Rhinolophus ferrumequinum: one gene and its partners. The protein of the gene in region 1 purifies or fractionates together with the protein of each later gene. This does not show direct contact. Links are inferred from orthologs where the notes say so. Each region holds a gene or a part of one and is shown in the gene's direction. Other genes may lie near its edges.

Region 1 (7,947 bases):
AATGTTAACATTTTGATATGTAACTTTCCATACTTTTTCCAAGCCTCTACAGCTGTATTTGCATATGGGTTTGTATATAGGTGTAGTTTTTTTTTTAAATAATATAAAGGGGATATTTATTAAATAATGAAAGATGATAACATACATATTTTTCGTGCAACTTGCTTTTGTCTCACAAATGTTCATATATCATACACATTCCTCAAAACAACAGATCTTTTTAATGGTTACATAATGTGCCACAGCACGTGTGCACCATAATTTGATCAACAGGTTTACTATTGAAGATATCTGGATTGTTTCTTGACTTTTTCCCAGTAATATTAATGCCATAATAAACATTCTTGTATTCATATCCTACATATTCGCATTTTCATTTCTTTAAGATAAATGGGATTTTGGATTGAAATGTATATGTATATTTATAATTTTAATAAATATTTTCAGATTACTTTCCCACGCTATGACAGCAATGTATGAGAGTGTAAGTTTCCCTGTATCCTGGTGAGAGATGGTAACAATAAAATTTGTTTTGTTTTTGCCTATTTGAGGAATGAAAAATAGTACCTCATTGTTTTACTTGCATATCCCTGACTAGTAAATTAGAACACATTTAAAATTTTTATGGTGTCAAATATATATATTTTAAATGGCTCCTATCTTATTTAAGAAGCTTTCTTGATAAAAAGTTACATAATATACTAAAATGTCTTATATTTCTATTGTATTTTTTCATTTAGATCTTTAATCTACCTGGAATTTATTTTTATATCTAGTGTGAAGTAAGACCTGTATTTATATTTTTCCACATTAATAACCAGTTATGCCAATACCACTTTTTTTAGTACATAAAGTTGATACTAACTTCTCCATTAATTGTAGTCACATAAGACTGATACCAAAGCTATAAGGCCAATTTATTTGTTTACATAAACAGAGATTTCAAGTCAGCCAGAATATTAATGTTGGCTCTTTGACCATTTTCTCCCCAGTGGGTAATTCTACATGGGAAACTAAATTACTGTTGAAGGCTGCTCAGGGGGATTAGGTCTAGAAAACAAATTAAAAATTTTAGGGACTAGTGTCTGAGTCTGTGACAGCCTTTGATATAATAAAATATAAACACTTTGTCCACTCTTCCTGATACAGAACTCCTAATACTCTTGGAATTTCCTTAATGATAAGAAGGTCTTTTATTCTTTTCACCACTCCTGAGTTTATGCTAGTGAGGTAGCTTAGGGTGGGGTCCCCAGAAAGCCTCAAGATGAGGCCAGAAACCAGAAAGACCACGTGATTAGAAGGGGGAACTTTTAGCCCCACTCCCAACCTCCAGGGAAAGGGGCAGGTACACTGGAGACTGAACTCTATAGAAACTCTTAACAAAGAGATTCAGAGCTTCTGAATTGGTGAACACATCCATGTACTGGGAGGGTGATAAGCCCCAACTTCATGGGGACAGAAGTGCAAGACCTTTCTGGACCTTGTCCTGTGTACCTCTTCATCTCTGCCTGTTCGTTTGTATCCGTTGGAAGGATACAGAAAATACATTTACTTTGTAAATGTAAGTCATGTATCTTCCTGAGTTCTGTGAGCCATTCTAGGCAATTACTGAACTTTAGAAGGATGTCATGGGAACTCCCAGTTTCTATGCACTTCATCAGAAGTACAGGTGGTCTGGGACTTATTGGCATCTGAGGTGGGGTAGCCCTGTGAGACTTAGCCCCTAAACTGTGAGGTCTTCACTAACTCCAGGTAGTGTTAGTGTCAGAATTGAGTTGAATTGTTGAATACACAATTGGTGTCTGGACAATCAGAGACTTGGTTGTTGGTGTTGGAAAACACCTCACAGTCCAATGTTATGTCACCTTGTCAAACAGAGTATCAGAAACATGTCATATGTTTTACTAACTTTCTCACCTGAACTGTGCTGAGAACAAAGTGAATTTCCCTGTTTCGCTTCTTTCTTTTTTTTTTTAGGATCTATGCCAATAATTCTTTTCCTATATGGAAACCTTCACTTAGATTCTTCATTTATTCCATTCAATAAATACACATATATGTGCCAGTTATTCCACTAGAGAGCTAATGATACAGAGTTGAACCAGATGAACAAAATTCCTGCTGTAGTTGGGGGAGGAAGTCAACAAAACACAGAGAAAAATAAGTTAAGGACTAAAATAGGGGAATGTGCTTTATAATGTACTGAATAGGGAGGACAGAGGCATAGGCAAAAAAAGTATGACAAATACATGGCAGGCATGTATGTATTTTAAATGCTTCCAGAGTTATTTTGTACATATATAAGCAAATACATACATATATACATGTATACACATATGGTCTTCCTTCCACACTCCCCCTTTTATTTTTTTCACAAATAGCACTACACTATATACACTATTCTACATATTGCACTGTGCAGCTTGGAGATCATTCCATACAAGAACTTAAAGAGTGTCCTCATTTCAAAAAAAAATGGCTTAATAATATGAAAAGCTCAATTTAGAGTATATTAATGCTAAAAATATTTACAAGGCTTAGGCCAGATTCATGGAAGATTTTAAAAAAACTGAATATGAACTTGTAATAAAATAAAATAATCGGTCTTTCTGACTCCATCTTGCTCGTGCCTGACGTGTTAGTTAGCAACTTCTGCTTAGTCCTGCATGTAGATATGCTAGTCATCTAACCTGTAGCCTAGAACTTACTGAAACAACCTTCCTGCTTGAAACTACCTCCCTAAGGAGATAAGGAAGGTATGTACAAAAATATTGTTTATCAAAATTTTTATAGGAATCTTGTGACTAAGATCACGGCAACCAGAGTTTGAAGTTTCATCATCCCCCTTGGACCCTTGCTGACCTCCAGATGTCTGAGCTCATCAGTCACATCCTGACCTCAAACCCCTCCTGTTCCCCCTTTCCCCTGACATAAAAGAAACCTGCATTCTCTATCTTCTCAAGAGAAACCTTTAGGACTCTAGTCCACTATCTGCTCGGCTTTCTGAATAAAGTCGTTTCCCTTGCCCCAACGCCTTATCACTTGACTTACTGGCTGTCCTGTGGTGGTACGAGCTTTCACTCCATTACAAATTTGCAAGCTTTAGGCACAAAGAATGACTTGAATTTCAGGCAACTAGTTCTCAACTACTGGTAGACCAGAAGTCTAATTACGTTTGTTTTATAATACAATTTCTATCTCTCATTTATTCTACTTGCCATGAGTACCCCATTTCTGACATTTCAGCACATTAGTGATCATATAGCATTTCATAAACACCAGCAAGTATCTTTGATAATATATATATATGTGTACACACACACACAAATATATATATAAGTAAAAGAATGTCCATAAGCTTACAAACGTCTATCTCAGAAAAGCTGGGAATTTTGTTTCTATTTTGATGGGATACTGCCTCTCAACATTTCATATATTACAACCCACCAATGTGGTTGAGAATCAATATATAAAATATCTTGTAGGATAAGATAGACAAAGTGGAGAGACAACAGGGCCAAGTACGTCAGCCAGGAAGGATGAGGTGCCTGTGTAATTAGGAATTGGAAAGAGTATAGGAGGGAAGGAAGAACAGGATTTGGTACTGATTGTATAGAGGGCATCAATCCGAAGGAACACTTCTAAGATGATTCCAAGGCTTCCAGGAAGAAAGAGATCACTTTCAGAAATGAAAAGAAGTGACCAGTTGTAAGGGGAGATTCCTAACTTAATTTGAGGTACAAAGACTTTAGATGGGACCTCAGAGATACATTTCCAACATTGTAATTTTTTTTTTTAAGAATGAAGAAACAGCAAGTTGTTTGCCTAAGTTCGCACAAGTTAATAGGCGTGGCAGGCAGGACCCACATTACGCTTAAGGGATGGTTTACTGTAAGCTCGGAGAGGTCCTGTAAACGGATAGAAACCCAGTGCGCGAGAGGCAGATACCCTACCAAACACTGACTCCAAACCTGCCAAATTTTATTACATGGGTCCCTAGTGAAAGCTAGATACGGAGTGACAGAGTCCTGGAATTTCAGGGAAAGTGGAAAATAGAGAGGCAACAAGTAGGGAAAGAACTATTTTCTAAACTACCATGTACCCGTCATTTTACATCTGGCTATCTCATTTAATTCTCACCACAACAGTATTACCATTTTTTAGCGATGAAACCAAGCTAGAAGGGAAGAATCTCCAATTGCAACCGAAACCCAGATGTGTATAGGGGCCAAGTCATGCTCATCCCGCACTCTCCTTATGCTGCCTCACCTGACCCAATACACTCATTTTAACGAAGCCCGCTCAAGGGAACACCCACACATTTGTCAAAGGAGTTGTGTGTGTGTGTGTGTGTGACACATACCATTGGGGATTTTACAACTTACACTACACTACAAGTGGAGAGTAGGGGGAGAAGCCATCAGCTAAGAGGAGAAGCAAGGAGAGAGAGGAGCTGTCAGAATGGTGTGAGGAGTGAACTGTGTCCTTCTGCTTCTACTCATACCCCTAACAAGGAGACTATCCAACACACTTGAGGGAGCTAAACCTTGGCCAGCTTCATTCCTTATTGCCTCTCAGGAACTACGATTTAACCCTTAATCTAGAACAAGCGAGGTGAGCACTTCAGACAGAAGTGGAAACCCGCAGTGTGAACCAAAATTTGAGCCGTGCCAGCGGCAGTGACTTCAGGACGGTTTGAAAGACAAGTTGAGAAACGGGCGAGTTTGGCTGCATCACGCGCCTGAAGCCAAGCGGTGGGGCCGCAGCAGCTCCTGCGGCTTTTCCTCTCGGCCCACGCCGCCTCCGCCCGCCACGTGACCCACCGTGTTGTGGTGAGGCCCGCGTGGGTGGCGGGAGCCGCGGGAGGGCGGAGGCGGCGAGAGGTGGGTCACGTGACAGCGTTTAAATCTCCCGCAGCCGGAGCCGCGGGGGCGCCACTGCCGCGAGTCGAGCGAGAGCAGAGGAGGTGAGGAAGGAGGGCCAGAGAGGCAGTTGGAAGATGGCGGACGAGGCGGCGCTCGCCCTTCAGCCCGGTGGCTCCCCTTCGGCGGTGGCGGCCGAGAGGGAGGCCGCGTCGCCGCCCGCCGGGGAGCCGCTTCGCAAGAGGCCGCGGAGAGACGGCCCCGGCCTCGGGCGGAGCCCGGGCGAGCCCGATGGGGCGGCCCCAGAGCGTGAGGTACTGGCGGCGGCCGGGGGCGGCCCGGCGGCGGCGGCGGCGCTGTGGCGGGAGGCGGCGGCGGCGACGGCGGGCGGGGAGCGGGAGGCCCAGGCGGCGGCGGCGGGCGGAGGAGACAATGGGCCGGGCCTACAGGGCCTATCCCTGGAACCACCGCCGGCCGATGATTTCGACGACGACGACGACGAGGGCGAGGAGGAAGAAGAGGCGGCGGCGATTGGGTACCGAGGTGCGCAGGGCGCGGGCGGCTGGGACTGCGCATTCCCTCCTCCCTCTCCCGGGGCCCCTCCTGGTGTGGGGTGGAGGGGTCTCGGGTGGGCAAGGGCTCAGGGCTGATTCTGCCGCGACCCTCTCCTTACCACGGCCCTCAGCTGCGCGCCTCCGGGGCTGCCGGCCTGGTTGCAGGAGCGGCCTGCGGACTCGCTCGCTCCCTCCCTCCCGTCCGTCCCTTAGTCCGCGGCCCGCCTTAGCGGCCTCGCGCTTTGCGCAGCCGCCGGGCGGGGAAGCTCTCGCAGGTTTTAAAATAAGTTTCTTTCCCCTCCTACTTTTTTAGCATATTGCTTTTATTTAACATCATTCCCACCCTTCATCCCAGCCCCCAGCACTCCTAAATCTGCAACTTTTGCTTATCCCTTGCACCGACTTTTTGCAGTTGTCTTTGCAAATTGACACCTGTGCAATTTGTGACTTTTTGGGGGGAGGGTCTTTATTTTTAAATTAGTCTTGAAATTGGAAGAGCAAAGCTATTTCTAATGTAATAGCCTCCAAATTTTGAAGAGCTTAGCTGTTTCTAAAGACATTACTCTTGTGGTGCAATTAATAGTGGACGTAGAAGAGTGACAGTACTTTGAATAGTATTTTTCCTCTAATCATGTTCTTAAAATAGTTTTAGGATTAGGTATAATCCTTTATTGTGTGTATATGTAACCCTGAAATACGACTGACATATTTTGGCATACTAAAGCAGATGTGTTAGTTGTATATGTCATGTCATCTTTGAGGATTTCATATTTTCGATGTGAGGAGTTTCTGTCCTGGATAGATGTGCTCTTCATCATTTGTATCAGTAAATTTAATCAATGGACCATTGGACTGTATTTAAAGGTAACATGCATTAGAGACTTGATTAATAAGAAGACCTCATTCAAGAAACAGTCGAATAGGGAAAATGAATAATGCAAAGTTATCTTTGTATGTTTAGTATTTTATAAGAGAAGTGCAGATTGCCCTAGTTACTTGGAACAAATTTTTTTGGTTTTTATTTGACAAGTTTCATGAGCTCTATTATTTGTGATTGATAAATTCAGTCTAACTAGATTAGTACTTCTTGTGTTTTGATTAAGTAAACTTATGTCTAGATTTTTGTGTGAACTGAAACTTTTAGATTGTGGGCAGAATCCCTAAAGATGAGGATATATACTGTGCCTATGAACGGTGCAAGCAGACCTAGTAGGCATTCTTTACACAGGCAATATGAATGTTAAGTGCTTCATTCATTGAAAATTGTTGCATCATAACCACTGTAGATCTTCATATATTTTAGATGCAGACTGTTTCAGTAGCTTTGAGTTACTTTTGGTTTCTTTTGTAGATAACCTTCTGTTTGGTGATGAAATAATCACCAATGGTTTTCATTCCTGTGAAAGTGATGAGGATGATAGAGCCTCACATGCAAGCTCTAGTGATTGGACTCCAAGGCCACGGATAGGTATGGTTCCACAGCTTTTAGAAAGTAAATGTCTTTTTCTTTGTTTTAATTTTAACGCCAACTAAAAATATAATTCTCTGCCCCCTTATAACCTAGTTATTAGGTTCCTTAGGTGCTTGCTGGATTTAATGTCAGCTTATTTTTCTAGGGAAAGTCTAGTGCTTTGTTTTTATTTTTAAACAGCTCAGGCCCATGGAAACTGGCCTCTGGTATTTCTCAAACAACCAGGTCCTTCTCACAACTTGGGTCCTTGGGTCCTCTTCGCTGGTACTCAGTGTGGAATGCTCTTCCTCTAGAGTATCTTGCTTCCTCACTTCCTATCCATTCTTCATTTTTTTCTTAACACATCATCACTTCTCAAGCTTTGTATCTTAACTTTTTTATTGTGTTTCATATACTAAAATATACTCGGAAACCAGTTGGGGGCAGGGATTTTTGACTGATTTGTGTACTATTTTGTTAGTACCTAGGTAAGTGCCTGGCACATAATTTGTGTTCAGTGAATCCGTATTAAGTATGTGGATAAAATGGGAAAGTATTTTGAAATAGAGAACACTATTCAGATTTTTATTACCAGTTATAACATGACCATCTTGAAAGTGATCTTTCTCTTAATGTGCTCTCATTCTTGACTATTTAAATATAGTGATGGATAGTTCCTTTTTAGGATCCATAATATTTACTATATTTTTGGTTTTTTTCAAGCTAGGATACTGATTTAAGAAATGCCAGGCGAAAAAATATTAATGCTCAAAACCAGCACTGTGTGTATCATTTTGGGAGATTGATTAAGATCAAATTGAAGATTATTACTGGAAAAATTTTAAAAGATAGTAGTTATGTATAGATTTATTTTAGGTAGATATTTAGATATCCTTTTCTTTTTCCCTATGTCTTTAATGATAAACAGTATGGGATTTCGGGACTGGTAAGATCTATCCTATATTGATTTGGAGAACCCTTTTGTACATATTCGTGTTATTAATTACAGTGTGTATTTCTGGATTTTAATGATTGAAATTTAATTCTGGCAATTAGTTTGACTCCTAAAATACATAGCTTG
Region 2 (7,271 bases), on another chromosome or scaffold:
ATACATGAAGACAAAGTGGGGAAAAAAACAATAGAAACAGGTATCAGCCCTCTGATATCATGGTGAATACTAAAAATTTACTCAAATATAAAATATGCAAGTTGCTCTCTCTCTAGCACAAATTATCTATAATTGTTTAGTATAGAAAAAATGCTGTTCATGTTCATGTGTGATATCAATATTAGCAACTATAATCTACTGTGGAATTGAAAGCAATTTGTTTTAACTACTGTAATTTTATGAAAAAGATTAGTTTTATTTTTTGGATGTTCATTAACCTCCTTCAAACCTCTCTATTTTTCTACTTACATCTTTCCATATTAGACATCTTCCTGAAAAATTGCCCCCCAAATAAGAAGTTCCATGTGTTAACATTTCATTGACTTATATTAAAAATAGGAGCCTTGTTCCCCAGAGGGGGAAATACCATTTTGTTGTGCAATAGATAATAAAATCACATGGAGGTCTGGGGAAAACATTTGTCCCTATTATTCCCTCCTGGGAGGCTATATCATGGGTACTAAAGACAACTGTCGGTTCTGCATCACCCTGTAGTCATATTTCCTTCCTGCCTCAGTCATTGCAGAATTTGGTGAAACTGCAGGCAGCGAAATTACGACTGCCCTCTTTTGTTTCATTGTGAACCACACACATATCCAGAGTCACTATTGAGCCAAGGATTGAGGAACAACTTTAGGGGATTCTAAACTCTATACTTTGACGGAAAACTGGTATCAAATGTCTTTTTCCTTCAAGCACTAATATTAAAATCACATGTTAACGTAATTAACCTAATTAACATAATTAATGTTATCCTTCCATGAAAATAACCAACTTTTTTATTTTTATGAAGATTGTAGAATGATGTAAGTTATACTTGTCAAATGTGTTCAGGAACTTAGGTACATGGAAATCAGACGCAATGTGGAACACCATGGAATATCTACATTTGAAACTTAAAATAATTTTATGTCAAATTTTACCCTCACTTACACATGAATCTCATATGGAAAGCAAATAGCAGGTGCAAAGGGTTCATGAAAAATTTATAGGAAAAACTCAATACTGAAAATATTCTACCCATTTACATTTTTTCCTGTAAATTTAGAAAAGATTACAGTAATTCATTTTCAGCAGAATACCTCTTCTTCAGCATATGCAATCTCAGTGCTCACTAGAAGTAATGTGAACATTTCACTGACATTAAAAATAGTATATATTGAATAGCATATATCGTATGATGGCACTACAATTGCTAAAATCCAACAATACAGAATACACATTAAACTCTTATTAGTATCCTACCATGTTTGATTTAAATAAACCTAAATTCTAATAAATTTATTCCTTTTCTAAATGTATTTTAAAGGCTTTTTCCAATTTTTTAGTTATATTTAAGAGATAAGTGCTATCACAAATGCTTCAAGTTTAAAGCAGCAATTTATTCTGAGATTTACTTTTGTCTGCTTTCTTTCAAGTCCAGATTTCAATAACTTGGGGAACATTTACAATAAAGTATATTAATCAAATATTCAGTTTATAATATACATGATTACAGGACTTTATAAAATTGAAATTTTGTATAGGAAGAGTTGGAATATCAATAGTATTTCCTGTACATATTTTTAAAATAGGAGTGAATTGAGTTAATAATTTGGGAAAAATGATTATGCAGAATCTAAAATCAAGACCAATTAGTCTCAAAATAAGACAGGATATAAATGACAGTAAACAGCTTTTTATGTCCATGATTTCAACTGCTCCTACGAACAAATGTGATGAAGGTAAATAAACAATCCTTATTTTATAGCCAAGAACAGATTCTGAAAAGATCAACAGTATTAATTTATTTTAAAAAATATTTACTTACTGAGCATCTACTATGTGACTAGGTATTCTGCTAGGTGTTGAGGACACAGGCATGAACAGAATAATAAAATAATAATAATAATAATAATAATAATAATAATAATAATAATAATGAATCTGTTCACATGGAGTTAAATAAGTCTGGCCCAAGCTAAGTAAACCAGTAAGCACTGAGGTATGGAAGAAAATGACTTCTACTTTGTGCCTGAGTCCCTTACACTTTATCTCTGATTTCAAGGTGAGGATGAACACTGAAGGAAACTTAGTAGGGAGGTACAAGACAGGCAGAAAGAGAAAACAGCATGTGATGTTTCCTAAGTTTAAGAGTAAATCAAATGTATGCTAGAATTAGAAAGTATTTTTTTTTTTACTGGAAATTAGGGTAACTGTAAAAATGTTGTGTTTGTTGGGGAGGGGGCGGTGTTGGCAAAGGACAAATTCTATAACCTGATTCAGAAGGCAAATAAAGAACATTACACAGTTATAAAAAAGTAGGAAACTTACCACTTGAATAAAGCAAAGCATGGACACCTTTCTGGTTCTAACATGCCCAAGTTCAGTTAACATGGTATTGAGGAAAGGGAGAATTGCCTGTACTTAAATGATCATAAAGAATAATGAGTAGTTTTGGCACTGAGGACGAGAGTAGATATATAGACATAATATATAGCAAAGAATATTTACAGTCACATTTCATGCACCAATAAATAATGTATTCACTTCTCAAAGTCCCAAAGCAAACGTGAGTGAGAAAATTTTCATCTATACTCATATTCAGGATTAAACTTTCTAATATTAAATTACTAGACTTCAGCTGTAAATTTCAGTTGAAAGGTTTGAAGAGATTATTAATGAATCTTCTAAAATTCTGGAGCGTGTTTAAAAGATTATTTTAACATAATAAAGAATCTTGCCATAGGTATGACAAAAATTACAGGCATACATTTATGAGCACCTACCGTGAGAGCACTGTGCTGGGCAACTTTATTTCTAGTACTCTACGTGTCATGTTTCAGGTTTCTCAATTTCTCTACCAATAATTCGTATATTGTTAATTTATAACTATATTATTTGAAATACAGCTCAGCTCATTTCATAAAATTGGTCCCAAAGACTTTTCCTTATTTGAAAGGGAGGGGGGGAAGAAGTGGAAAGCTAAATCCTACTGACTACTTCAGACTTGACTTCCTTGGTATTTGTGGTGTTATCTATACGGTCTTTTAGACATCCCCCAAATTTATACCAAGTCAGGGACTTGAGATGAGATCAGCAATCTATCAGTCTCAAAGACCGCATTTGTGAGCCATGCTTGTTGCCTTAACGTCCTATATACAGGTAACTACCCATTTAGATGGTAAGTCACGGCCTGTTAATAGCTTAACTTTGACTCTTGACGCCCAAGATCTCGTGGGACTACTCTAAGGGGAAAGCCCAGAGGACCGCTCAGAGCAGGGAGGCTGGGCGGGGGGCAGGCGGAGGTGACAGGTGAGTCTGGTGTGGATGAGGAAGTGAGACAGGGGCAGTGTGGGTATTACTCATTTTGCTTCCCCGCCGAGCTGGCTTGCAAGCGGAACTTCTAGCCTCTCTTTCGGTCCAGCTGAAGTTCTATCTAATTGAAGTCACTTCCCATCCCAGTTCCCTGAGGGGAAAACCATGCGTGTAATGGAAGGGAGTCAGAGCGGCGGGGCGGGGGTCAGGTAGCCTCTCTCGTGAAGCCGTGCGTCCTCGCGGTCAGAGGCTGAGCTTCCCAAAACAGTCCTTCACCGTTCCCGAACCTGCCCTTCTCCTAACCCGGGCAACTCCCGGGGGAGTCCGGGGCACGACCCTCTGCGGAGCCCCGGGGTGCGCAGAGCGGACGAACGCTGCGTGGGAGCGGAGCCTAACCTTGAGGAAGAGGGAAGACAGGTTGTTCCGGTTACTCTGAGGACACAAGGTCCCGACTAGAATCGGTCAGACCCGTACGAGCCCCAAGCATTCGCGGCGGGTGTGGCCAGTTCACAGGCAGAACGCGGCGGAACCTCCTCCTTTACCTTTCTCAGTCTGACAGCCTGTCGCCCGTCTGACCAGGTCCCCACAGTTTCCCAATGTCTCCCTCCCCCATCCCAAGACACCTGAGGGAAACTTTTCCCTCGGCCCTCAATTCAAACACAGCTGTTTCCAGTGTTGCCGCAAACCGTCTTCTCCCTAGCAACAAGGTTCCGGCCGTAGAGCGAGCGGCTCTAGGTGTAAGGAAGGTGATGTCGTAAAGCCGCGAGTGTCGTAAACCAGGTGCGGTGGGGAGGGGGGAGGGGTGGAGGCGGAGGGGTGGGGGGGAGGAGGGAGGGAGGGGGAGGAGGTGACTCGAGCATTTAGACACAAGCGAGAGGATCATGGCGGATGGCCCCAGGTGTAAGCGCAGAAAGCAGGCGAACCCGCGGCGCAATAACGGTGAGTGGCGGAGGGGACCGGGGAGCGGCGGAGTCAGGGGGAGCCGGGCAGCCGGGGCGCCCCGGAGGTGAGGGGGGCGAGCCGGGCTGGGGGCGGCCGGGGCAGGGACTGGCAAAGTGGAGTGGGAAAGTAGAAAGTAGTGCTCTCTGCCCCCCTCCGCTGCCGGAGCCGCGCCGCGGCCGCTCGCTCTCCCTGAACCGTTATGTCTCTTACCTGGTCTCTCTCCGCCTAGCGGCTCCTGCCGCCCCTGCCGCCTCCCTGGACCGTTAGCCGGCGCCGCCGCATCCCCGGCGCAGGGCGAGCGGTCGGGACGCGGCGGCCACTTTTCTGGTCCCGGGTGGAGAGGCTGTTGCTTCTTTTCTCACTTTTCCCCACTCTTCTGCCCCTCGCGCCTCCCCGCTCCCCCTCCTCCTCAGCCCCCTCCGCCGTATTCTCCCTCAGCGCCGAGGCCCCCGGGAGCCGGGAACTAACTTGTGCCGGCGCTGGCCGTGCAAAGTGGCTTCCGCGCGTCGCGGCCCCAGCCCGCGCCGTCGCTTGGGCCCCGCGGCTCGGGCAGGGTGGGTCGGCTGCGGGCGCGCGGCGGGCGATGGGACGCGGTGGCCCGGCTGCGTGTCGTCCGTGCGCGCGTGTGCGCGGGCGCCGGCGGGGCGCGCCGCGGGCGGACGGGGCTCAGCCCGCTGCTGTAAAGTTGTGACCGGCCGGCGCGCTCGCGGAGTGGGGATTAGCGGCGGAGGCGCGGGTCCCTAAGTGCCCCTCCTCCCCCGCGCCCCGGCCACCGCGCCCTGGGCCGCCGAGGCAAGCCCTGCGAGTGAGGTCCACGTCCTGTGGGGCGCTGGTGGGGCGGCAGGGACGGCGGGGCAGCAGCGGGCGCCTACTTGCTGCTGGGGGCGATCTGTGGATGGCGGCGAGCCGGGCAGCGGGTGTGTTTGTGGAGTTGTTACCTGGTTAGAGACAGGAAAGCACCACAGACAGAGCTCCCTCCCCGGGGAAGACTCCTTCTCCGCGCTGGGATGGGGCTGTGTGCGTACGCCTCTCTCTTTTCTCTTTCGGTTTTTGGGGAAGTTGTTACCTGAGCCGGACGCTCGGAGCGCTGAAGCCGGATAATGGAGCTTGGATGGCGCTCGCGGACTCGGGTGGAAAGGGAGTGGGGGAGGGGGAGGGCGAACTGACGGACGTGCGGGTCGGCTGCTCGCTCTGCAGCTGCAGTGTTTATTGATCTGTGCTGATGTGCCGGGGAAATACACACCCCTCGGCCTGGCGTGAGAGTTTTAAATAAATAAAGAGAGAGACAGAGAGAGAGAGAGCGAGAGAGACCCGAACATGTGGTTGTTGTTGCACATTGGCCTTTTCCAGTTTGGAGAGACGTTGTAAGTTGATTGTATTTTTGCTTATCTCAGGGGCGATTCTGTGCTTTCTCTCCCCCCTGTTCAGCAGCGAAATGTCTGCTGATTGTTATTGTCTGGACAGTTCCTGTGGCGAGAGGGGCAAGACTTGTCCGCCCGGGGGCGGCAGGAGCTCGGGGAGAGGCCCCCGCCCGCCGGCCGGGTACCTGTTTGTATAATAATGGGCGGCAACGGCTCTGCCGCCGGCTGCGGCCCAGGCTATATAAGGAATTACACGTACATTTGGACCGAGGGGCTTGTCTGGGTTCCTGCGTTATTTTTAAAACGAGTTTTTAAGAGTAGGGAAATAAATGCGCCTATAATGGAATCACTGTATCTTCCAGAAAATGAGGAAATATGTGTTTAAGTAAAAACTCTCGCGATCCCCCCGCCCCCTCCCCCGCGCCCGGCCTCTCTTTCTCCCTCCCCTCTGGGATGCGAAACGCGAGGTTTTGTAACCTTTCCTGGCAATTTTAGATTTTGTGTGGGATTTCCTGTCTAGAAGCAGATACGAAGGTTTTAAGCTGTTTCAAGATGTTTCCTTCCAATCGTAAACATTTTAATATATTTGAACCAACATTAAAATCACTGCTTCCACGAATGATTGTAGTTATTCAAATGTTTGCATTTAAAAGCATCAAACAATTATGATCGATAACTAATATGTTGTATCCTCATTGTGAGAGATGACTTGTTACAGTAAGGAGCAGAGCATAGGCTATTGCAATTTTAATTTCCTGTTTTAGCGTCAAATACTGTGTGTTCTGTATTGAGCTGTTGCCGCTGTTGCTGATGTGGCTTTATGAAAGGTAAGTTGGTTCAGAAAGGGTTGTTCGCTTTTTACCTTATTTAAAATGTTCATCGCCATAGAAAGGGGCTTTTCTTGTTGCTGACGACATGTGTGTGACATGTGAGTCTGAACCACCCAGCGTCTGTGCAGCTGCTGTAAACATGTTTACCTGAGCAGGAAAGAATGGATTTTTCTCCTAAAGATCCTGCGATGTGAATATTACACCCATAAGGCATATCAACAGATGACTTAAGGGGGAAAAAAGCTATCCTGAAAGGTACTTGAAATCAACAGGAAAAAGAGGTTCTCGGTCGCTGCAGCAAATGGCAACTTGTGCAGGTAGAAAAAAGATGGTGTTTAGTTTTCTCCTGTATGTATGTCAGCCCCCTCCTGTCTGCTGCTTTCATTCTCAAGGGAGGGATTTATTTACCACGCTTACTGTCAGTGTTTTTCCTTTGTTTTTAATATTAGAAAAACAGATTTGGGGCTGCTTAGCACAAAATGTCTTGTCTGCAGTATGCATTACTCTGAGAAAACAAAAGGTGTTTAAGATAGCACTATACTACTACAGGTATCTTCCATTTTCGTCACTTTTGGCTCTGTCCTTGTATTTCTTTTTGTTCTCAAATGCATTTCATCCATTGCTGATGATTACTGTCGTGCTATTTGATTAAGCCTTATAATTTGCAAATTAAAAATGAAGTTATATATGCCATTGTGTTATGAAACCTCAGGGTAGGTGCTGGTTAATATTTCTTAGCAACGCAGTCATATTTGAGTTGTAGTTGTTTATTGGAGAGAAT
Region 3 (7,115 bases), on another chromosome or scaffold:
GCTCCAGCATCTCCCCACTTTCTTGGGAGAATGGCGCAGAAGCCCCAGGAAAAGCCGCGGGGTCTCCGGGGGTCCATCTTCTGTTCGATGCTCCTCCAAAGTGGCTGCGTCTCCATCTGGGTGCAGGCAGGTGCTGCACGGGTTTCTGTGTACGCCTCCGGTACCGGTTCAACCAGCTGTGAGGGAACCCTCATCCCCCACCCTGCCTCCAACCCTACCTCGTAGGAGCCCTCCAACCTGCTGCCTGCGGGTCTCCTCGTTGCTCTCCCGTCCGTGTCCATGCATCCGTCCATCTATCGCCCGTCCGTGGGTCAGTCTCGCTTACCTGCCGGGCCGCGTCGCGCCCGCGCCAGCTCGCCTCCTGCAGCCCGGCTGGCGCGGCGGCTTTTATAGTCGCGCGTAGTACTCGTGCGGCGGCTCATTCATGCGGCCGCGGCTCCTACACACTGACGCGTTGCCGACGTCAGCAGGGAATTTAGGAAACGGGAAGAGGGGCTATTTATAGAGGCGAGGGGGGTGGGGACCGAGGCGATGAGGAGCTGGATGAAGAGCTGGGAGGTGGAGGAGGGTGCATGGAAGCAGGAACGGGGGGCGGGAACCCATGCCCCATGTACCGGTCTACAAGGGGTTAACTTTCCGGAACTGCGGGCTGGGGACCCGCGAGAGGATAATGCGGGGGGGCTGACGGGTCCCTTACATATTTATTCACTCTGCGACACCTGGGATGCAACCCTACTCCAGCCCAGCCTTCCAAGGTCCTCACCGGGTAGTACCCAATCCTACTCCTTAGTTTCTGGACCCGAAGGCTCTGTGACGTCACAAGATGTCCCACGGCGGCGTTATACTCCAATGGTCACTGCGGTGTTGTCACCCTGAGGAGTGAGGCAGGAGAGGAAGCTCCAGTGTGTGTGGGAGGGGGCGGGGGTGAGGGCGCTAGGGCAGCACCTAGAGCTATGGTGTGGATAGGGGAAGAGTAGGGAAACTCAGGGATCTCGAAAGGCTTTGTAGGAAGAGGCTGGGCCTGGAAGGAATGCCCAGTGGGGGTCCAGGTATCAGTTGGGAGCTGGAGACAAGAGGGAAGGCAGAAAATTGAAGAGGGTGGCTTGGACTCGCTGGAAATGAGCAAGGGGGTCCTCTGTGGGGGAGGTGGGGAAAAGATGGCAGGAGAAGGGGGGGCAAAAGGAAGAGGAAGCCTCAGCAGGTAGAGAGGAGGACAGGTCCCCTAGTGTCAGTGTCAGACCCTGGCACTGCAGACCACGTTTAGGACCCATTTGTGGAATGGTGGCATTGACAGAGCTCATATGGGGGTGATAATGAGTGAGGGCTCCGCAGCTTGGCAGAAACAGGTCTGGGGGGGGGGGCAGGGCAGAGGAGTTCGAGTTCCTGGAAATCAGAGTGGGCAGGAAGGGCCCATGCTATGTGGGTGGGAGTTCCTCTGGAGAGGACCAGGGAAACGAATGATCCTGGTCCACCCTAGCTCCATCAATTGAGATGGGCTCTCAATCAGGGAAGGGGAGTGCATTGAAAGAGAGGAGCTGGATTGGGATGGGGAGGGGGCAGTGCTAGGCCAGGGCAGGTGGAACTAGGGAAAGGTCAAAGACTGAAGAGTGAAGCCCACAGGAAGGTAGCTAGGCTGGGGCATCTGTGAGACCCTCCCATACAGATGTAAGGACAAGGGCTGGGGCAGTGAGCTAACTTGGAAAGCAGGGATCCAGGTAGAGTGTTGAAAAAAGACAAGGAGGGCCGGCCAGGTGGCTCAGGTGGTTGGAGCTCGGTGCTCCTAATGCCAAAGGCTGCTGGTTCGATTCCCACATGGGCCAGTGCCAGATGGCTCAGTTGGTTAGAGAGCATCCTCTCAACCACAAGGTTGCCAGTTTGACTCCCACAAGGGATGGTGGGCTGCGCCCCCTGCAACTAAGATTGAAAGGACAACAACTTGACTTGGAAACGTCCTGGAAGTACACATGTTTCCCAATAAATTCCCCTTCCCCTTCCCCAATAAAATCTGAAAAAAGGAAAAACACAAGGATAGTGGGCACATGGGTCCACAGTGGACAGAATCCACCACCACACAAAAGAGACACAGAGCTGAGGGGCAACTTGTGAGGCTAGGATCTTACCCCATCAAGAGGATAAAAGATTACAGCAGAAACAAGGTTAGAGAGGTCCTCCATACTCTTTGGGGTCTGGCTGACTAGAGTTTTTTGTTTGTTTGTTTGTTTGTTTTGCCTCCAGGCTTCCTCCCAGAGGTTCTCTTCTCCAAGAATGCCTTCCTGCCTGGCGGGAGAACTCCTCTTCATCCATCAAAGCCCAGTTCTAAGAGCACTTCTGAGGACCCTTCCCACCTCTTTCCAGCACTCCTTTCACTTTTCCGTCTCAGCGCACAGCACGTCCCCCTGCGGTAGGGGTCTGCAGCTCAGGAACCCCATTTTCATTTTTGGAACGTTACTACTTCCCTAGTGAGGCCATCATGGGAAGACAGAAGAGAGGATTAGGATAAGATTGATCCAGAACACAGACTGGAAACAGGGTGAGGGCGGACTCCGCGGTAGGAATGGGGACTTGCGGGGACCAGGAGCCGCCTCCTGGCCCCGAGGCCATGAAGTCTCTCGTGGAGGAAAGGGAGCCTCTGGGGGGCGCCAGAGCCTTTGGTGTCCGTCAGGGACCGCGAATGGCACCGCCGGCGTCCCCTCAATGAGTGATTCAGCCACTACCTCTAGCGGGGCATCGGGGCGGAGGGCCGCATGGGGGGCGGCGAGCATGGCCCCCACCCGCCCAGCGGCCCTGAGCGGTTGTTATGTTCTCCAAGGCCTTGGAGAGACGCGATCTGGGCGAACCTCAACGGTTACTATGGTAACTCTGCGACCCAGCCTCTAGCGAGGCAGCTGAGGAAGGCGCAGCCAATCAGCAGCTGCAGGCGTTCTCAGGGACCCACTCCCACCCCCCACGTGTGGGCGGGGGTCAGGAGGTGCGGGGAGGAGGAGGAGCGTGGGCCGCAGCGAGACCCCGCGCCGCTACCAGCTTGATGCGGGCTACTGGGCTGCGCGGGGACGCTTCCGGAGTAACCCTGCAAATGCCTGTGCGCCAGTGCGGGGTCCCCTTCCTCCCACAAGAGGTGTCACCTACAAGAACCGGGCCTTCACGCGGGGTGCAGGACCTTGCGGGGGATCCCGGGCTGCAGGCCCTCCTGTCACGTTTCTCTCGGATCGGTGTGTTGGAGATGAAATCGTCCAAGCAGGTCCCTCAAAATGGCTCACTCGGGAATCTGGGGGCTGCGCTCGCTTCCGTGGGATCCCCAAAAGACACTGTCCAGCAATTCCCAGTCGAATATCCTATGGCCCCTCTATAGATCTGCAAGTTCAGTGTGGCCTGTTTGGGTAACGTGTCTGTCCAGGTTAACGGAGGGCCCTACGTGGCAGCCCCCAGAGTATTACAGAGAGCCGGGACTTGGACTCCGGAAGGGGGCAGGCAGGTGTATCTGTGCAAATTTGCGCGCCCGCAGGTGTCAGTACCTGGAGAGGATCTGGGTGCAAACGGGTTTATTCTGTGCATGTGTCATTTTAACTCGTGTCTGAATGAGGATATGTGTGTTTGGGGGTGGCTACAAATGGACAGTCCCATCCAGGAATGTCTAAGTAGAGTCCCCCAAGATCTTGTCTATCTTCCTCTTCCTTAGGATTTCCGTAACCACCCTCCCACCATCTACTGTCACCAGAGTCTTCTCCTTGAGGGCAGGACTTCTCCGAATTGGGGCAATGTGAGAATCTGCAAATATGTACACCGGAGCATTTAGCTCAAAACCTCGGGGTTTGTGGGGCTCGCAGGTCCGGAGCTTGGGTTCCCAGTCGGGCATATCCGGGAGGGTGAATCTGCGAATAGGCCTCCCTGCAAGATCCAACTCCGCATCTGCGAGCCTCCAGCCCAGGTGCGCGAGAGGGAGGTCATGGCTGTGTCGCGCAAAGCTCCGCGCGACCGCGAGGTGGCTCCATAACTGCAGCAGAACCCGCCGGCCCGGGCCGCTCCAGATAAGAGTGTGCGGAAAGCGCGGCGGGGCTGAGACGCGACCAGGACGTGGGGAGGACGGACCAGCAGGACAGACCGACCGGGGGCCCGGCGGGCGGAGGGCAGCACAGCGCAGCCACGTCCCCCCTGGATCCGCCGGCAGCCGGGCCCGGGGCTTCCGACATGCCCCCCAGGTGGGTCCTCGGGCTGGGGACCGGGAGGGACAGGGGACCTAGACAGCCCGGTCCTCGCGCGCTGACCGCCTCGGGCGCATCCTCCGGCGCGGCCGTCCCAACGCGGCTGGCGTTCGGAGCTCCGAGTGTCGCCCCTGGAGGACTCAGGACCACAGGGTCGCTGTTCTGCGCCGGGTTCACGGCGGGGTCAGCGGCCCCGGCCGGCTCTGCCCGCACATGGGCTGGAGAGGCGAGGGGAAGGGAAGGGGAGCTGGCGGGCGGGGCTGGCAGGGGCGCTGCCCTGGCACAGTTCGGCGCCTGGCAGCGGGGCGGGTGGGGCACGGGCAAGGAGCTGCCACCACCGCGGGGAGGGAAGCCCGGTCGGGCTGCGGCCGCAGGTAACGGGCCGCGAGGCCCTGCGGGCCAGGCGGGGAACAGGGGAGGGCGGGCGAGCGGGCGGGCAGGGTAGCTCAAGGCTCGACTCAGGCCCTGCGGTCGCCGGGCTGCCAAAATGGGGGGCGAGAGAAAAAGCTGGGAGCCGAGGGGACTGGGGCTGGTGCGCCCCTCCCGGCCTGTCTGAAGTTGGGAAACTTTTCCCCAAGTTTGGGGCGGCGGAGTTCCCGCGGAGAAGGGGAGCTGGGGAGGGTGGCGCCGGTCTGCGAATGCAGACCTAAGGCCGAGGCCCGGCCGGGACGCGGGTGGGGCGCAGGCCGAGGTCAGGGCCGCAGCCGGCTGCGCGCCGTGCCCGCCCGGGGCGCTGCCCCCTCCCTCCCCTGGGAGCTGCGTGGCTCCCCCCTCCCCCCCACCTGCTTCCTGCCTCAGCCTCCTGCCCCGATATAACGCCCTCCCCGCGCCGGGGCCCGGCCTTCGTGCTCTGCCCGCCACGGCAGCCGCTGCCTCCTCTCCTGGTGCCGCGGCCGCCGCCCGGGCCCCAACTGAGGGCCTGACAGCCCCCGGCCAGGGCGGCGCCACGGCGGCCACGGCGCTCCCCTCCTCCGGATCACTTCCCCCAACTGGGGCAACTTCTCCCGAGGCGGGAGGCGGTTTTCACTCGTCTGCCTTAGATCCCACTTGGGCAAACTTCTCGGCCCTGAATGACTTTTCCTGAAGCGGACATTTCCCTCAAATCGGGTAACTGTCTCCGAAAGGGTCACTTCGCCCGAACAGTTTTCTCCTTGGAAGCCCCCCAGAAGCCAGCCTGTGTGCCCGGTACCTCCGGGCCTGGGGTGCAGGCCAGCCTGGCCTCCTCTCCACCAGCCACTCTCCTGCTCCTTCTTCTGGTCTGGGCCTCCGGCCCAGGCTCCCACACTCAGAGGCCGCTGATCCTCCGCCAGTGCCCAGGCCACGGTGCTCGATGCCCGTGCCTAGCTGAGGGGAAGGGAAAGTGGAGGGGAGACGCGCCGGGCTGGGGACCAGCAGCGAGGGCTCGGTGCGGCTCTGAACCGGCTGGTGTGTGTCCCCGCAGGAGATTGTGCTGGGCAGAGGATGCTGGACACGATGGAGGCTCCCGGCCACTCGAGGCAGCTGCTGCTGCAGCTCAACAACCAGCGCACCAAGGGCTTCTTGTGCGACGTGATCATCGTGGTGCAGAACGCCCTCTTCCGCGCGCACAAGAACGTTCTGGCGGCCAGCAGCGCCTACCTCAAGTCCCTGGTGGTGCATGACAACCTGCTCAACCTGGACCATGACATGGTGAGCCCAGCCGTGTTCCGTCTGGTGTTGGACTTCATCTACACCGGCCGCCTGGCTGATGGCGCAGAGGCTGCTGCTGCGGCGGCAGTAGCTCCGGGGACCGAGCCGAGTTTGGGCGCCGTGCTGGCTGCGGCCAGTTACCTGCAGATCCCCGACCTCGTGGCGCTGTGCAAGAAGCGCCTCAAACGCCACGGCAAGTACTGCCACCTGCGGGGCGGCGGCGGCGGCGGCGGTGGTTATGCACCCTACGGGCGGCCAGGCCGCGGCCTGCGGGCTGCCACGCCGGTCATCCAGGCCTGCTACTCGTCCCCAGCCGGGCCTCCGCCGCCGCCCAGCGTTGAGCCGCCGTCGGGTCCCGAAGCCGCAGTGAACACGCACTGCGCAGAACTGTACGCCTCCGGCCCCGGCCCGGCGGCCGCACTCTGTGCCCCGGAGCGCCGCTGCTCCCCACTCTGTGGCCTGGACCTGTCCAAGAAAAGCCCATCGGGCTCCGCGCCTCCGGAGCGGCCGCCTGGTGAGCGCGAGCTGCCCCCGCGCCCAGACAGCCCTCCCAGCGCCGGCCCCGCAGCCTACAAGGAACCACCGCTTTCTCTGCCTCCACTGCCACCGTTGCCCTTCCAAAAGCTGGAGGAGGCTGTAGCACCTCCGGACCCGTTCCGTGGCGGCGGCGGCAGCCCAGGACCCGAGCCCCCCGGCCGCCCCGACGGGCCCAGCCTCCTCTACCGCTGGATGAAGCACGAGCCAGGCCTAGGCAGCTATGGCGACGAGCTGGGCCGGGAGCGGGGGTCCCCAGGGGAGCGCTGCGAGGAGCGCGGCGGGGACCCGGCATCCTCGCCCGGGGGGCCCCCGCTCGGCCTGGCTCCACCACCGCGCTATCCGGGCAGCATGGACGGGCCTGGCGCGGGAGGCGACGGTGATGACTACAAGAGCAGCAGCGAGGAGACGGGCAGCAGCGAGGACCCCAGCCCGCCTGGCGGCCACCTCGAGGGCTACCCATGCCCGCATCTGGCTTATGGAGAGCCTGAGAGCTTCGGTGACAACCTGTACGTGTGCATCCCGTGTGGCAAGGGCTTCCCCAGCTCAGAGCAGCTGAATGCGCACGTGGAAGCGCACGTGGAGGAGGAGGAGGCGTTGTATGGCAGGGCCGAGGCAGCTGAAGTAGCTGCTGGGGCTGCGGGCCTCGGGCCCCCTTTTGGAGGCGGTGGGGACAAGGTCGCTGGGGCTCCCGGTGGCCTGGGCGAGCTACTG

The links. Proteins that work in one complex are often made in the same cells at the same time.
Region 2: the proteins of SIRT1 (region 1) and ZEB1 purify together in Homo sapiens (affinity purification with western blotting; 4 studies listed by BioGRID, with this or other methods). This does not show direct contact. The link is inferred for Rhinolophus ferrumequinum from reciprocal best matches to the Homo sapiens genes SIRT1 and ZEB1.
Region 3: the proteins of SIRT1 (region 1) and HIC1 purify together in Homo sapiens (affinity purification with western blotting; 4 studies listed by BioGRID and IntAct, with this or other methods). This does not show direct contact. The link is inferred for Rhinolophus ferrumequinum from reciprocal best matches to the Homo sapiens genes SIRT1 and HIC1.

Annotation. Positions count from the first base shown.
Region 1 is NC_046299.1:46,617,724-46,625,670, forward strand, and holds the start of SIRT1 (NAD-dependent protein deacetylase sirtuin-1), read left to right. Parts: upstream 1-4,939; 5' UTR 4,940-4,999; coding exon 5,000-5,405; intron 5,406-5,535; exon of another isoform or gene 5,536-5,631; intron 5,632-6,767; coding exon 6,768-6,884; intron 6,885-7,947. UniProt on the Homo sapiens protein: NAD-dependent protein deacetylase that links transcriptional regulation directly to intracellular energetics and participates in the coordination of several separated cellular functions such as cell cycle, response to DNA damage, metabolism, apoptosis and autophagy.
Region 2 is NC_046288.1:2,888,012-2,895,282, forward strand, and holds the start of ZEB1 (zinc finger E-box-binding homeobox 1), read left to right. Parts: upstream 1-4,175; 5' UTR 4,176-4,238; coding exon 4,239-4,296; intron 4,297-5,201; exon of another isoform or gene 5,202-5,306; coding exon of another isoform or gene 5,307-5,316; intron 5,317-6,113; exon of another isoform or gene 6,114-6,480; coding exon of another isoform or gene 6,481-6,487; intron 6,488-6,614; exon of another isoform or gene 6,615-6,791; coding exon of another isoform or gene 6,792-6,807; intron 6,808-7,271. UniProt on the Homo sapiens protein: Acts as a transcriptional repressor. Inhibits interleukin-2 (IL-2) gene expression. Enhances or represses the promoter activity of the ATP1A1 gene depending on the quantity of cDNA and on the cell type.
Region 3 is NC_046304.1:15,995,213-16,002,327, reverse strand, and holds the start of HIC1 (hypermethylated in cancer 1 protein), read left to right. Parts: upstream 1-4,196; intron 4,197-4,485; coding exon of another isoform or gene 4,486-4,573; intron 4,574-4,997; coding exon of another isoform or gene 4,998-5,122; intron 5,123-5,640; 5' UTR 5,641-5,660; coding exon 5,661-7,115. Other genes in the region: uncharacterized protein LOC117012891, read left to right, coding at 3,774-4,196, 4,486-4,573, 4,998-5,122. UniProt on the Homo sapiens protein: Transcriptional repressor. Recognizes and binds to the consensus sequence '5-[CG]NG[CG]GGGCA[CA]CC-3'. May act as a tumor suppressor. Involved in development of head, face, limbs and ventral body wall.